Linked DNA regions of Arabidopsis thaliana. The protein of the gene in region 2 binds, or shares a complex with, the protein of the main gene of each other region. Each region holds a gene or a part of one and is shown on either strand. Other genes may lie near its edges. A codon is read from its position in the direction of its gene.

Region 1 (3,754 bases), 1.7 Mb from region 2:
GATGATTCAATTGTTTTCACAAAATTAAAATGAAGTTCTGATTTGACGAAAAAAAATTTAAAAAAAAATGAAGTTTTGATCTAATCTTGTTTATGGATTTTGAACTTTTTAACAGGAATCATCAGCTTTCAGAGAAATACCAGTTGTGATTATGTCTTCAGAGAACATCTTGCCTCGTATCGATAGGTATATTCTACTATAATAATCTTAACTATGATCCTTAATTCTTGTTTAGGTCAAGATTATGTAGGACCAAAATTTACCAAATATAGTAGATTTTGTGCATTTATTACTTCAGGAGATGGGGATGATTAGATTTAGAGGGTATTGTTTGTTTAGGAAACTTTTTAAAGTAATCACACTAATTTAGGATTTGTGATAAAGTTACCGTTAAAGGATATGTATTGACTAAATTAAATTGTTGTATAATCACAAGATTTTGTTATGATAGAAAAGGTTATTATATGATTACTTTTTAACTATCATGGGGTTAACTTTGGTGGTGGTTGTATATTTGATCAAGCTGAGATTTGGTGTTTATTTTAGTGGGTCCTAAAATGATTTTTAAAATGGATCTTAGGAATAATAAAATTTATCTTGTGGCCATAAATTTAGAAAAGAATAATCCATCATAAGTTAAGCAAGATCTTCTCTTGAGATTTGATTCTATATAAGCCGGTGACATGTTAGGCCCTCCAAAACTTTATAATATATGTTTTAATTGTTTGGGTTGCATAATCTTAGGTAGGGTCATTTATAAAATCCCAATCCTCGTGATAGACACCTCACATGCCTTTGCTTATTACTAAGGAACCAAACCCTCTTTACCAGATTAAGTTTAATGATTATCATATATGAGCTGGCCATTTTCTGTATCCAAAGTTATAAACTTTATGGAATTAGATCACTAACATTTGGTTCCTTATATTTATTCAGATGTCTTGAAGAAGGAGCTGAAGATTTCTTATTGAAGCCTGTGAAATTAGCTGATGTGAAGAGATTAAGAGATTCTTTAATGAAAGCTGAGGAAAGAGCTTTTAAGAATATTATGCACAAGAGAGAGCTTGAAGCTAATGATATCTACTCGCAGCTAAAACGCGCAAAGATCTGAGTTTATCAGATTCCACGTACGATATGTTCTTTAAAAGCTCAAAGATTCACACACATGCATGTCCTGATTCTTTCGGCTTACAATTTTTGAGACATTACGGCTTCTTTTGCTGATAGAACCAAGACTGATCAAGAGTGACAAAGATGGGTTTTTATAAGATAGAAATGTAAATTGTAGACTTGGATTCATTAGAGAGGAGAAGAGATACATTTTTTTTTTCTTTACATGAGAGATATGTAAAATGGTGGTGTGTTATTTTGGAAGTTAACATATGAATTTCTTTTGTTAAGATTACTTAAATAATGATTTAGGAATGGATTAGTAGTTTAGTACCGTTCATTACACGAAGACAAGCTAATCTTTTGTCTAATTAAAATAAAGCTGTCTACATGAATCGAATCCAGCGAGATAAGTTAGTTATTTTAAGCGTTGGTTGGAACACTTTACATGGCTTTTCGTAGAAATTTCCCCAAGTTGGGTTTTATTAAGACCAAGAAAATTCTAGTCTCCTAGACTTTTTTTTGTTTCTTTTGTTAATTTAGTCTCCTAGGCTTTTTCATTCTATCTGAAAGCAAAATATGGTTATGCAATTTGGTTTAGCCAAAAAAACAAACTAAATTTTTCTAGTCCGGTTCATGTAACTTCATAATCAAACAAGTAAAAGTCGAATGTGACGCGTCTTGCCGAACGCAAAAACGGACCAGGCAAGAAGGTGTAGTTAGTTAATTCGGTTAATATTCAGCTGAGAGAAATCGAACCGGTTCCATATCTTGTAGATTATCCGGTTTACTTTCCGGATAAGATTTATAAGCAAAACAGAGTTAAAGTAGTAGATTTCTTCTATACGAGACCAAATCTGAAAACCCAAGTCAAGCTACAAAAACTTAACTCCAAGCGAACAAATCTCCTCATTCATTAAACAACAAAATTGTTTTCCGACAAAAAAGTGAATATCATTGAGTTACTGCGAAATCCCAACCGAGAGTGACATCTCAAACCAAAAGATGGAGTCTATATTAAAGAGACGAAGACTCCAAAGTCAAGCTACAAAATTTCCAAGCAAAGATTACACAGAGAAAACTTTCCGACCAAATGTGAATGTTTATGAAAGTTTCTGCGAAACTCCAGTCATGTCGGATGTACAAAGCCATACACCAATGTAAAACCGACACGTGGAAAGCTAAGATTCCTAGCTTTTCTTTCTTCATGAGTCTCCAATAGCCAAAGAGTCAACTCCAAAAAAAAAAACCCATTTTTGCATTGAAATGGTCTCATGATGGGGTATTTTGGGTAACTAATTAGTCCTGTCTACATCTTCCCATAAATTAACAGAGTAGGAGCGGATTAAAGAAGCAAGACGATTCAAAAGAAAAAAGAGAGAAGAAAGTCCACTAAAGAAAAGAGAATAGATATAGATCAATGGCGTTTGAAGCTCTTACCGGAATCAATGGTGATCTAATCACCAGATCATGGTCAGCCTCGAAGCAAGCTTACCTAACCGAGCGCTATCACAAGGAAGAAGCAGGAGCAGTCGTAATCTTCGCTTTCCAACCATCTTTCTCAGAGAAAGATTTCTTCGATCCGGACAATAAATCTTCCTTTGGAGAAATCAAGTTGAACCGTGTTCAGTTTCCTTGTATGAGGAAAATCGGTAAAGGTGATGTAGCTACTGTTAACGAAGCTTTCCTCAAGAATCTTGAAGCTATCATTGATCCAAGAACCTCATTTCAAGCTTCTGTAAGAAGATTGAAAACATCCGAATATATTTTTCTTTTTTTTTCTTTTTTGGTCTCTTATGCTTTTACTTCTTCAGGTGGAAATGGCTGTGAGGAGTAGAAAACAGATAGTGTTCACAGGACATTCCTCAGGAGGTGCAACTGCAATCTTAGCAACAGTTTGGTATTTGGAGAAATACTTCATACGCAATCCAAATGTTTACCTTGAGCCTCGTTGTGTGACATTTGGAGCTCCTTTGGTTGGTGACTCTATCTTCAGTCACGCACTTGGGAGAGAAAAATGGAGCCGGTTCTTTGTGAACTTTGTCTCAAGATTCGATATTGTCCCTCGGATTATGCTTGCTCGAAAGGCGTCTGTAGAGGAAACTTTGCCTCATGTTCTTGCCCAATTGGATCCCAGAAAGTCTTCCGTCCAAGAGAGTGAACAGAGAATAACAGAGTTTTACACAAGGGTGATGCGAGACACATCAACTGTTGCAAACCAAGCTGTTTGTGAATTGACTGGAAGCGCAGAGGCGTTTTTAGAGACCCTTTCTAGTTTCCTTGAGCTAAGTCCTTATAGACCCGCCGGTACTTTTGTTTTCTCTACAGAGAAGAGATTGGTTGCAGTGAACAACTCGGACGCCATTCTTCAAATGCTGTTTTACACTTCTCAAGCCAGCGATGAACAAGAATGGTCTCTAATTCCATTTCGAAGTATCAGAGATCATCATAGCTATGAGGAACTGGTACAGTCGATGGGAAAGAAGTTGTTTAATCATTTGGATGGAGAAAACTCAATAGAGTCTACGCTCAATGACCTTGGAGTGGTAAGTCTCTCTCTCTCTCTCTTTTCATACTGTGCAGCTCCATAGCTCCATTCTTGCAATCATTTAAACCCTTCAGAGTGTTTCCTTTTTCTGCAGAG
Region 2 (3,754 bases):
TTTAGTTGGTTTAATTCAATTTTACAAAACTTGATGGGTTAATTGGGTAAACCATTGAAACCATTAATCATTACAACCCAACTCATTTTACTCATCAAACCAATTGACTCATCAACTCATTTGACCCATCAACTCATTTGAGTCAAAATTTTCAACTCATTAGGGTTTATGGGTTGAGTTGAGTTGACCAATAAATTTTGACCCATTGACACCCCTACACATATCAAATAATTTTAACCTATCTAAATTTTTTTTATAAAAATTACTAACTAACATGTCACGAGTTCACGACACATATCAATAAAAATATTAGATGTCTTCATGTATTAAGTCTAAATTTGTTAATACATTTACTGAGAAAATGAAAAAGTTAATAACTCTATATGAAAAAGGAGGTTATATATAAGTAAAAAAGAAATTTGATAATAAATTAAGAAAAAAAAAAACACAATTTGTAACTATATTAGAAAAAAGGTAAAAGTTCCTTATCCTAACAAAAAAGAAATTGTTGATATATTGAACTATTTATCTAATTCTATTGATTGTTTTTTTCCATATATATATTCCCAAGAAAATAAAATAGGGATCCTTTCAATTATATTTACAATTATATAAAAAGTTTGTATTAATTAACCAATAGACGGATAAAAAGTTGGGCCATAGTTTAACAAACAAACTATCTTTATCCAATGAGAAGCCCAAACCGGCCCATTTTAAACATCCTAGTAAAACCCATCTCCCGATCTTAAACCATCGGTTGATACCACCGACACGCGAACAAGACGACGACGCAGCGATGGGAAAAACTTCGGGAGCGAAACAGGCGACTGTGGTGGTCGCAGCGATGGCGTTAGGATGGTTAGCCATAGAGATCGCTTTCAAGCCTTTCCTCGATAAATTCCGCTCCTCAATCGACAAATCTGACCCAACCAAAGACCCCGATGACTTCGACACCGCCGCTACTGCAACCACATCCAAAGAGGGTTTGTAAAATTAGGGTTTTATCAGATTAAAGAGATTTACTGATTTCAATCCATTTCATGTAACTGATGAATCCATGTGTTCTTAATCATAACAGTTTGAGCAATTTCTTTTGAGTCATGATCGTTTATTTGTCATCAATTTTTGGAAAAGTCTGCTATATTGAATCTGTTATTGTAGTTCAATCGCATAACAGAATCATTAATCTAATCAATATTCATACATGATTTGTTACACCGTTTTTCGTATTTTGTATAAAGTTTCGAGCTGTATTATTAAGGTGGAAGAAGAGATTAGGAATCCGATAAGTACTTAAATTGTTTTAAGTTATGATTCGATTATACGTATCTCTTGAAAAGAAGCATGTTAGAGCAAAATATCAAACTTGACAATTACAAGATTGCTTTATAGATAAAGCAGATTAGCTAAATAAGTATAGGGAGACGATAACATGTGGTGATACAAAGATGTGTCAGATTGATTGTTTAACATCATTTAGTTGAGAAAACTTTGGACGACGACTGACTTCATCATATGAGAAAACACCAAGAAAATGTACTACTAGTCTCTAATGGAGAGACTTGGTTATAGAAGTTCATTGTTTAATTTGAATATTTACTCCAATTCAGGAAAATATCAAAACCAGAAAATTACATGAAAATTACTATAGATGGTAGCTTTGCAATGATTATTGTCCGGTTGGATAGTTTCATTGACATTTAGGATTCAGATTATCTCTTTTATCATTATCAGTTTGTTAAGGCAAGAGTTTTCTAATACATGCTTAAGTCCTAATCATCAGATATTTCTTCTTCAAACCTTTTTTGTTTTGTTTTGATAATTTGCCCCATTTTGTACTCTAGGTTTTTCCACAAAGATCCCAAACAGAGATTAAAAGATGACAATGGCATGGACCTTTCAATGCTTTGTTTTTTTGTTAAATTAGATATAAACCTTTCCAAACAGTAAATTATCAAATTCATTAACAAGTATCTATATCTCTCTAGTAGAGGTAGACCACAACTTAAAAATCTCCTCAAGTCATGGTGGGTCTAACTTGTAGGACTTATATGGGCCAAATTGTATAACTATATCATGTTAAGCTGAAACTGAAAGTAATTGGTTCCTTTTAAAAGCTTAGCCAAAAAAACTTCAAAATGTCTGAGTCAAATGTAGGTTGATTTCTCTGCAATTTCCATGAAAGATAGATAGATAAACTCTTACCAAAGTTTCTGCATATCAAAAGTTGTCAATTTATGCTCAAGTCTAAACCATTCCGATTACATAGGATCACATGCTTTGATTCGCATTTTCTTCTACTATATATTTACATATTTTTTTGTCCTCTACACACAATGATTAAAAAATGAGAATGGACCTACCTTTCACAGCATTTCTTTATTATTATTTTATAAAACCAGTACAATTTTACTAAATTATGATGTTAAAGTAAGAGACTTTGAAGAAGACGACTTAGCAAAGACCAAAACCAAGAAATTACATAGGAACAAGCCAAGAAGATACATAGATAATTTCTTTTTGCTTGTAATATATTTACAACTTCATAAACATCATCGTTCTGCAACTCTCTACTCGATATCCAATCATGGACGATTGTCGATTCGAGACGAGTGAGTTGCAAGCTTCGGTAATGATATCGACTCCTTTATTTACCGATTCTTGGAGTTCATGCAACACCGCAAATTGCAACGGGAGTATAAAGATCCATGACATCGCCGGGATTACATACGTTGCTATACCGGCGGTATCGATGATTCAGTTGGGGAATCTTGTGGGCTTGCCAGTCACCGGAGATGTTCTTTTCCCCGGCTTATCCTCCGATGAACCTCTACCTATGGTCGACGCTGCCATACTCAAACTCTTTCTTCAGTTAAAGGTTTGTTTTCTCTTCCTCTGTTTTTTTTTCTTTCTATTGGATGCAATTTAACCTATTTATTATCTTCAAGGCATGTGGATATTTGAATTTCAATTAATAATACCTCGAGAGAAAAATACAAAAATCATTAAATGCTAATATGGGAAATTATTTCACAAAGGATTTTAAAAAAAAACAAAATTCTATCATAAGTTTTATTCGTTTGGATTTGCGAAAACGAATTTTACCTATTAAAGTTACTATTTTTTTTACGTATTTTAGTACTTTTTAGTAGAACTGATGATCATTACTATTTTTTATTTAAATATCTCTGTCCTCTGAATTTTGATGAATTATAATCCAAATGGAGGTTTTTTTTGTCCTTTTAAAAGATTATTATAAACTATCACCACCACCTACCCCAATAGGCAATAGACAATAGATAATAAATAAAAATTATTTTCTTGTAAGAAATTCTAAAAAGATTCGTGGACACAATTATTCCAAATCCACCATTTGGAATATGTCATTGTCGCGACCTTTGGATATCATAAGCAAGTCAATTGAAAGTTTGGTTTGTATGCCATCACGTCCGTCCGCCCAAGTGATTTAAAAAATTTACTAATTAGTGAGTGAAACGTCATTGGTATTTTTGACACCAAAAAAAACAAAAAATGTTAATGGAATTGGTAGCTTTACGCTTTATGCTTTAACACACCTCGGCGAAGTTTATAAATGTGCGCTCAAAAAGTTTTTAACCCATGATTATTGTGTCACCATCATGTATTTTATTCCCTTTTTCGTCGAATACTTTTAGTTTTTGTTTTGTCTCTAAGGATATGAAAATCTTGAACAAAAACAAGTTCCTATTGGTTTTGATGAGTAGAAAAAACAAGA
Region 3 (3,754 bases), on a different chromosome or scaffold from region 2:
TGTGCACATCGCCAAACCTGCAAATTTATGATATGATTAATCCCACTGAAGTGTTGGTACAAGAGACAAAGTCATAAAAGAGCGAATACCTCGGATTGTTCACTATAGTAAGGAGATTCTTGTCAGCTAAACGAAGAACAAAGGAAAACGCAGTTTCCTCGTCAATATCATGCCTCTCAACCCACACGCTCGTGAGAAGATCAAGAGGGATCTTCTTGTCTTCAGGGAAAGCACCCATATCCAAGAAACAGTCTCGGATTTTCGGGTCGAGGTTTTCTAGACTTTCTTCCATATGAGCAAACACTCTGCTCTCATGAGTTTCATCAGCAGCTTCTCCTCTTAATAACCTCTTCACTACGCCTTCCCAATATCTTTCAGGTTTGTTTTTTAACGAAGCACCAAGAACTTTCAAAGATAAAGGTAAACCTTTACACTCATCAACAACCTACCAAACAGAGTAACAATTTTAGTATTTGGAAGCAAAGTGTGTTTTTAGTTACAGATTCAAATATTTATAAAAAGGCATTAGTACCTGCTTCACCAAATATTTGTTGAATGGAGAAGGCGGGGACTTTTGTTCGAAAGCACAGAGACACAAAAGAGACATTGCTTCATCTTTCTTTAATAATTCCACATTGTAGGTGGTTCTAGGATCTGCAAGCTTGGACCGTGACACTACTAAAGTAGTGCTTCCACGAATTTTAGACATCAGCCTGTCCAAGGACTCCCTTGTCCAAACATCATCAAGAATCACTAGCTTCCGTTGATGAACTCCATCATAAAGAAATTCTCGTATACAAGACTCCAAATTCTCAAAATTCGGAGACCGTGACACAGTCAAAAACAAAACCTTATTCTTAAAGAGTCCTGCACAAAAATCTTGATTAGAACTCATGACCATCAACACAAAACAAAATTCAATAAAACTTCACAAACCTCGAACATCATCGTCCTTTGAAAGCTCTATTGCAAGAGTGGTTTTCCCTGAACCGCTCATTCCAGAGATCCCAAACAAATGTGTATCCGTAAACTTAAACATCATCTCCTTCACCTTTTTCTTCCCCAATTCCAATACCGTCTGAATCTCCGGATCGCTTACCGTCTCAATCTCCATCATAGTCTCCGGAAACGACAAAGAATCATTCCGCTCAGTCAACAGTCTATCCATATTCCTCTCAATCCTGTCACCATTGACCCGTAGATGACATACCTCAGCAAGAACAAAGAGCAAAATCTGGCTGTTGAGGAAACGAGATATTTGTTTCTCGAGATCCTTCATCTTATTCGCGTGGTACACATGTTTAAGGTTCCACCTATTGCATCTTAAAACCTTTTCACATAGCTTTCTTGCTTTCTCCAAGATCTCATAGAATACTCCCAGTTGAGTTTGGTGATGGTTACTCAGCTCCGCGCCACTGTATTGGATCTCCCTGATCGTTGGTTGAACGTCTCTGATCATCGTGATCAGTCGTTCGGCGATTCCTTTGCAACTGTAGACTGTGTTAGCTACTAGAGCGAGCAGCTTTAAGAGTTGCGTCGTGATGTCGCCGGCGAAAAGATCTATGAACGAAGCCATCGAGACCGATCTTGGAGTGTAAGACAGAAAAAAGAAAGTGAGATGGTTGAGTGGTAATAAGGGTTGATACGTTTTTAGATTAGAAAATAGCGAAGAAGACGAAGTTTCTTAGCAACTTCCAATAACATACGTTTTGTCGTTTAGTGTTTTAAAGTTTTGTTTCTGCGGTAACACATGTAATAGCTTTGTAATAGATTTCAGAGAATGTATGGATCTTATGGTTACGTATCAGTTTTTCACTTATTATCAAACAGATCGATTTAGTAGTTTTTTTTCGAATTCGATTATCTAGACAAACTCTAAATTACGATATTCCCTAATACGGCCATACGGGTTCAATCACTTTGGGAGTGTAATTGTTTAAAGTTAGCTAAATCCTATTTGGATTAATACCTCTAATCTTGTTTTTTTTGGTCGCTATCTCTATCTAATTTAACTAATTGGGAAAGAAAAACGATCCCATATGCAACCTTGTTTATAATTTTTTTTTCTTGTGATTATTTGGTGTTGATATGTGTATAAACTATATAGGGATTAGGGACTCGAACTTTTTCAATGTTTATTTTGTAGCTTTTTTTTTTTTTTTCCTTTTGACGTCGATTTGTAGATCTAATCATCAAAGATCACTTTACTCTTTTTACGCGTTTTGATTAATATTTTATATATTTCTTCAAATTACTTAATGGTATATATACACTAGTGTTGGTCCAGCTCCAATGGGGTTACAAGAACCGTATTCGCAGATGGGAAGCCGCATGTGTACTATACGGTGGCTGGAGAAGGCATGATGGTTCAACAGCCATTGCCTCAGCCTCAACCGCAGTACCAGGGAATAGTCAACCGGTTAGTACCATGTGTTGTGGAAAAAAAAAGGTGTTACCGTGTTAGGTAAGAATTGAGAAAACATTGGATGTTAAAAGACTTGCTTCCACACTAACTAATCCACATGACACATACTTGTCATATCATTGAGGGTGTGAGTCGTGTGACTAGTTGACTTTAATAGAAGAAAACAAAAAGAAAGGGAAAAAATTACATGTATTAGTCCAACAAAAGAAATTGGAAGAAAATTGTTTCTTCGAAAAATATCAAAAAGTAACTAAATCACATGAATTCTTCCATCTTCAAAGCAAATAAAAATTATTTTTCTTCCTGATGTGATTATTCTATTTTTCCATTTATTCTATATGTTTAACCAGTCACAGCCTTTTAATTAAATTTTACTTAGCGACAATCATTATATTGTCATTATCATTTTGATCATCTCAAGTCTTTGTCCTTATTATTTGTTGCCAAATTAATATGTCTCAATCCAGAAACATGGGTCCATGTAAAAGCTATCATGTCTTTGTCATTAGGATTCAAATTGATATCCATCTTCCCCTTAATTGTTCCCAAATTTGTCTTATCAATTTTATTTCTTGTCTTTACCTCATCAATGGATATGATGTCAGCCAGATTGGTTCTAATTCGGATTTTTTCCTCCAAGTTCCGCATTTAACTGAGTTGGTTAGAAATAAGCACACTTTCCCAGTGTTTGCATAAATAGTGTTTATAAAGACATACCAAAAACCTAATTAAAAAGAAAACAATTCCACTCGGATAGACTAAACCAATTAAAAACCATAAAAAAAACTAACTAATAAAAAAAAAACCAAAAGCACTCGGTTCTTATATTCAGATTATTCTAGTAACTCGTTAATCCATCAAAGTTTATGAAAACGCTATTAAACACATACAATAGCGTTTATCTTGAGTTAAAATGTCTATTTTTTCTTGTAGTACGCGACTTAACGATTTCGTGAAGTCAACATAAGTTAGCGATTAAATTGATAAGTCAATAAAAGTTGGGTATATATTTCATCGAAGAAAGTTGAGGTTTGTATTCAACGAAATTTGAAGGTTGACGCATTAAATGCTTAGTTTTAATTTGGTCTAACCTTAAATGGTTAACCTAATTTGTAACACCCGACCTGTCATATAGATTAAGATGACATGTTTTTCATTTGATTTTACCAAAACGTTTTCTTTAAACGTCAAACACGAACAAAATATTACACATAACTTCCTCACTCTTACTAATCTGAAGAAAAAATGAATAAGGGGGTGAGTAAAGAATACTCGGTGAGAGGAATACGCTCTGCCCACTGAAACATAGAACATTTTCTAAAGGTATAC

Evidence for each region.
Region 1: the proteins of PAD4 (region 2) and EDS1 are in contact, whole or in part, in a cryo-EM structure (PDB 8ZWA), measured with the Arabidopsis thaliana proteins. Residues at the interface, in NP_190811.1 of Arabidopsis thaliana: Arg5 (codon at 2,600), Phe6 (codon at 2,603), Thr8 (codon at 2,609), Glu10 (codon at 2,615), Leu11 (codon at 2,618), Gln12 (codon at 2,621), Ser14 (codon at 2,627), Val15 (codon at 2,630), Met16 (codon at 2,633), Ser18 (codon at 2,639), Thr19 (codon at 2,642), Pro20 (codon at 2,645), Leu21 (codon at 2,648), Leu111, Val112, Arg141, Val142, Phe143, His168, Asn169, Thr193, Ser240, His241, Phe243, Leu244, Lys245, Ser246, Arg247, Ser248, Phe249; in NP_190392.1 of Arabidopsis thaliana: Arg196 (codon at 3,192), Met233 (codon at 3,303), Arg234 (codon at 3,306), Ser237 (codon at 3,315), Thr238 (codon at 3,318), Asn241 (codon at 3,327), Gln242 (codon at 3,330), Val244 (codon at 3,336), Cys245 (codon at 3,339), Gly249 (codon at 3,351), Ser250 (codon at 3,354), Ala251 (codon at 3,357), Glu252 (codon at 3,360), Ala253 (codon at 3,363), Phe254 (codon at 3,366), Leu255 (codon at 3,369), Glu256 (codon at 3,372), Thr257 (codon at 3,375), Leu258 (codon at 3,378), Ser260 (codon at 3,384), Phe261 (codon at 3,387), Leu262 (codon at 3,390), Phe295 (codon at 3,489), Gln299 (codon at 3,501), Ala300 (codon at 3,504), Ser301 (codon at 3,507), Ser351, Thr352, Arg353, Arg355.
Region 3: the proteins of PAD4 (region 2) and ADR1 are in contact, whole or in part, in a cryo-EM structure (PDB 8ZW9), measured with the Arabidopsis thaliana proteins. Residues at the interface, in NP_190811.1 of Arabidopsis thaliana: Glu316, Trp319, Tyr320, Arg323, Arg339, Tyr340, Ser341, Leu342, Lys343, Arg344, Phe346, Lys347, Val348, Met350, Ile353, Arg354, Lys357, Asn403; in NP_174620.2 of Arabidopsis thaliana: Met562, Arg586, Phe609, His637, Asp639, Asn660, Pro662, Arg663, Ala684, Pro686, Glu687, Gln708, Val710, Val782, Trp784, Leu785, Asp786, Asp787.

Annotation. Positions count from the first base shown.
Region 1 is NC_003074.8:17,756,469-17,760,222, reverse strand, and holds the start of EDS1 (alpha/beta-Hydrolases superfamily protein), read left to right. Parts: upstream 1-2,075; 5' UTR 2,076-2,530; coding exon 2,531-2,848; intron 2,849-2,924; coding exon 2,925-3,656; intron 3,657-3,752; coding exon 3,753-3,754. Other genes in the region: RR5 (response regulator 5), read left to right, coding at 116-186, 937-1,111. UniProt on the Arabidopsis thaliana protein: Positive regulator of basal resistance and of effector-triggered immunity specifically mediated by TIR-NB-LRR (TNL) resistance proteins.
Region 2 is NC_003074.8:19,428,979-19,432,732, forward strand, and holds the start of PAD4 (alpha/beta-Hydrolases superfamily protein), read left to right. Parts: upstream 1-2,116; 5' UTR 2,117-2,587; coding exon 2,588-2,878; intron 2,879-3,754. Other genes in the region: OEP7 (outer envelope membrane protein 7), read left to right, coding at 797-991.
Region 3 is NC_003070.9:12,166,914-12,170,667, reverse strand, and holds the start of ADR1 (Disease resistance protein (CC-NBS-LRR class) family), read right to left. Parts: upstream 1,901-3,754; 5' UTR 1,577-1,900; coding exon 937-1,576; intron 868-936; coding exon 533-867; intron 446-532; coding exon 90-445; intron 18-89; coding exon 1-17.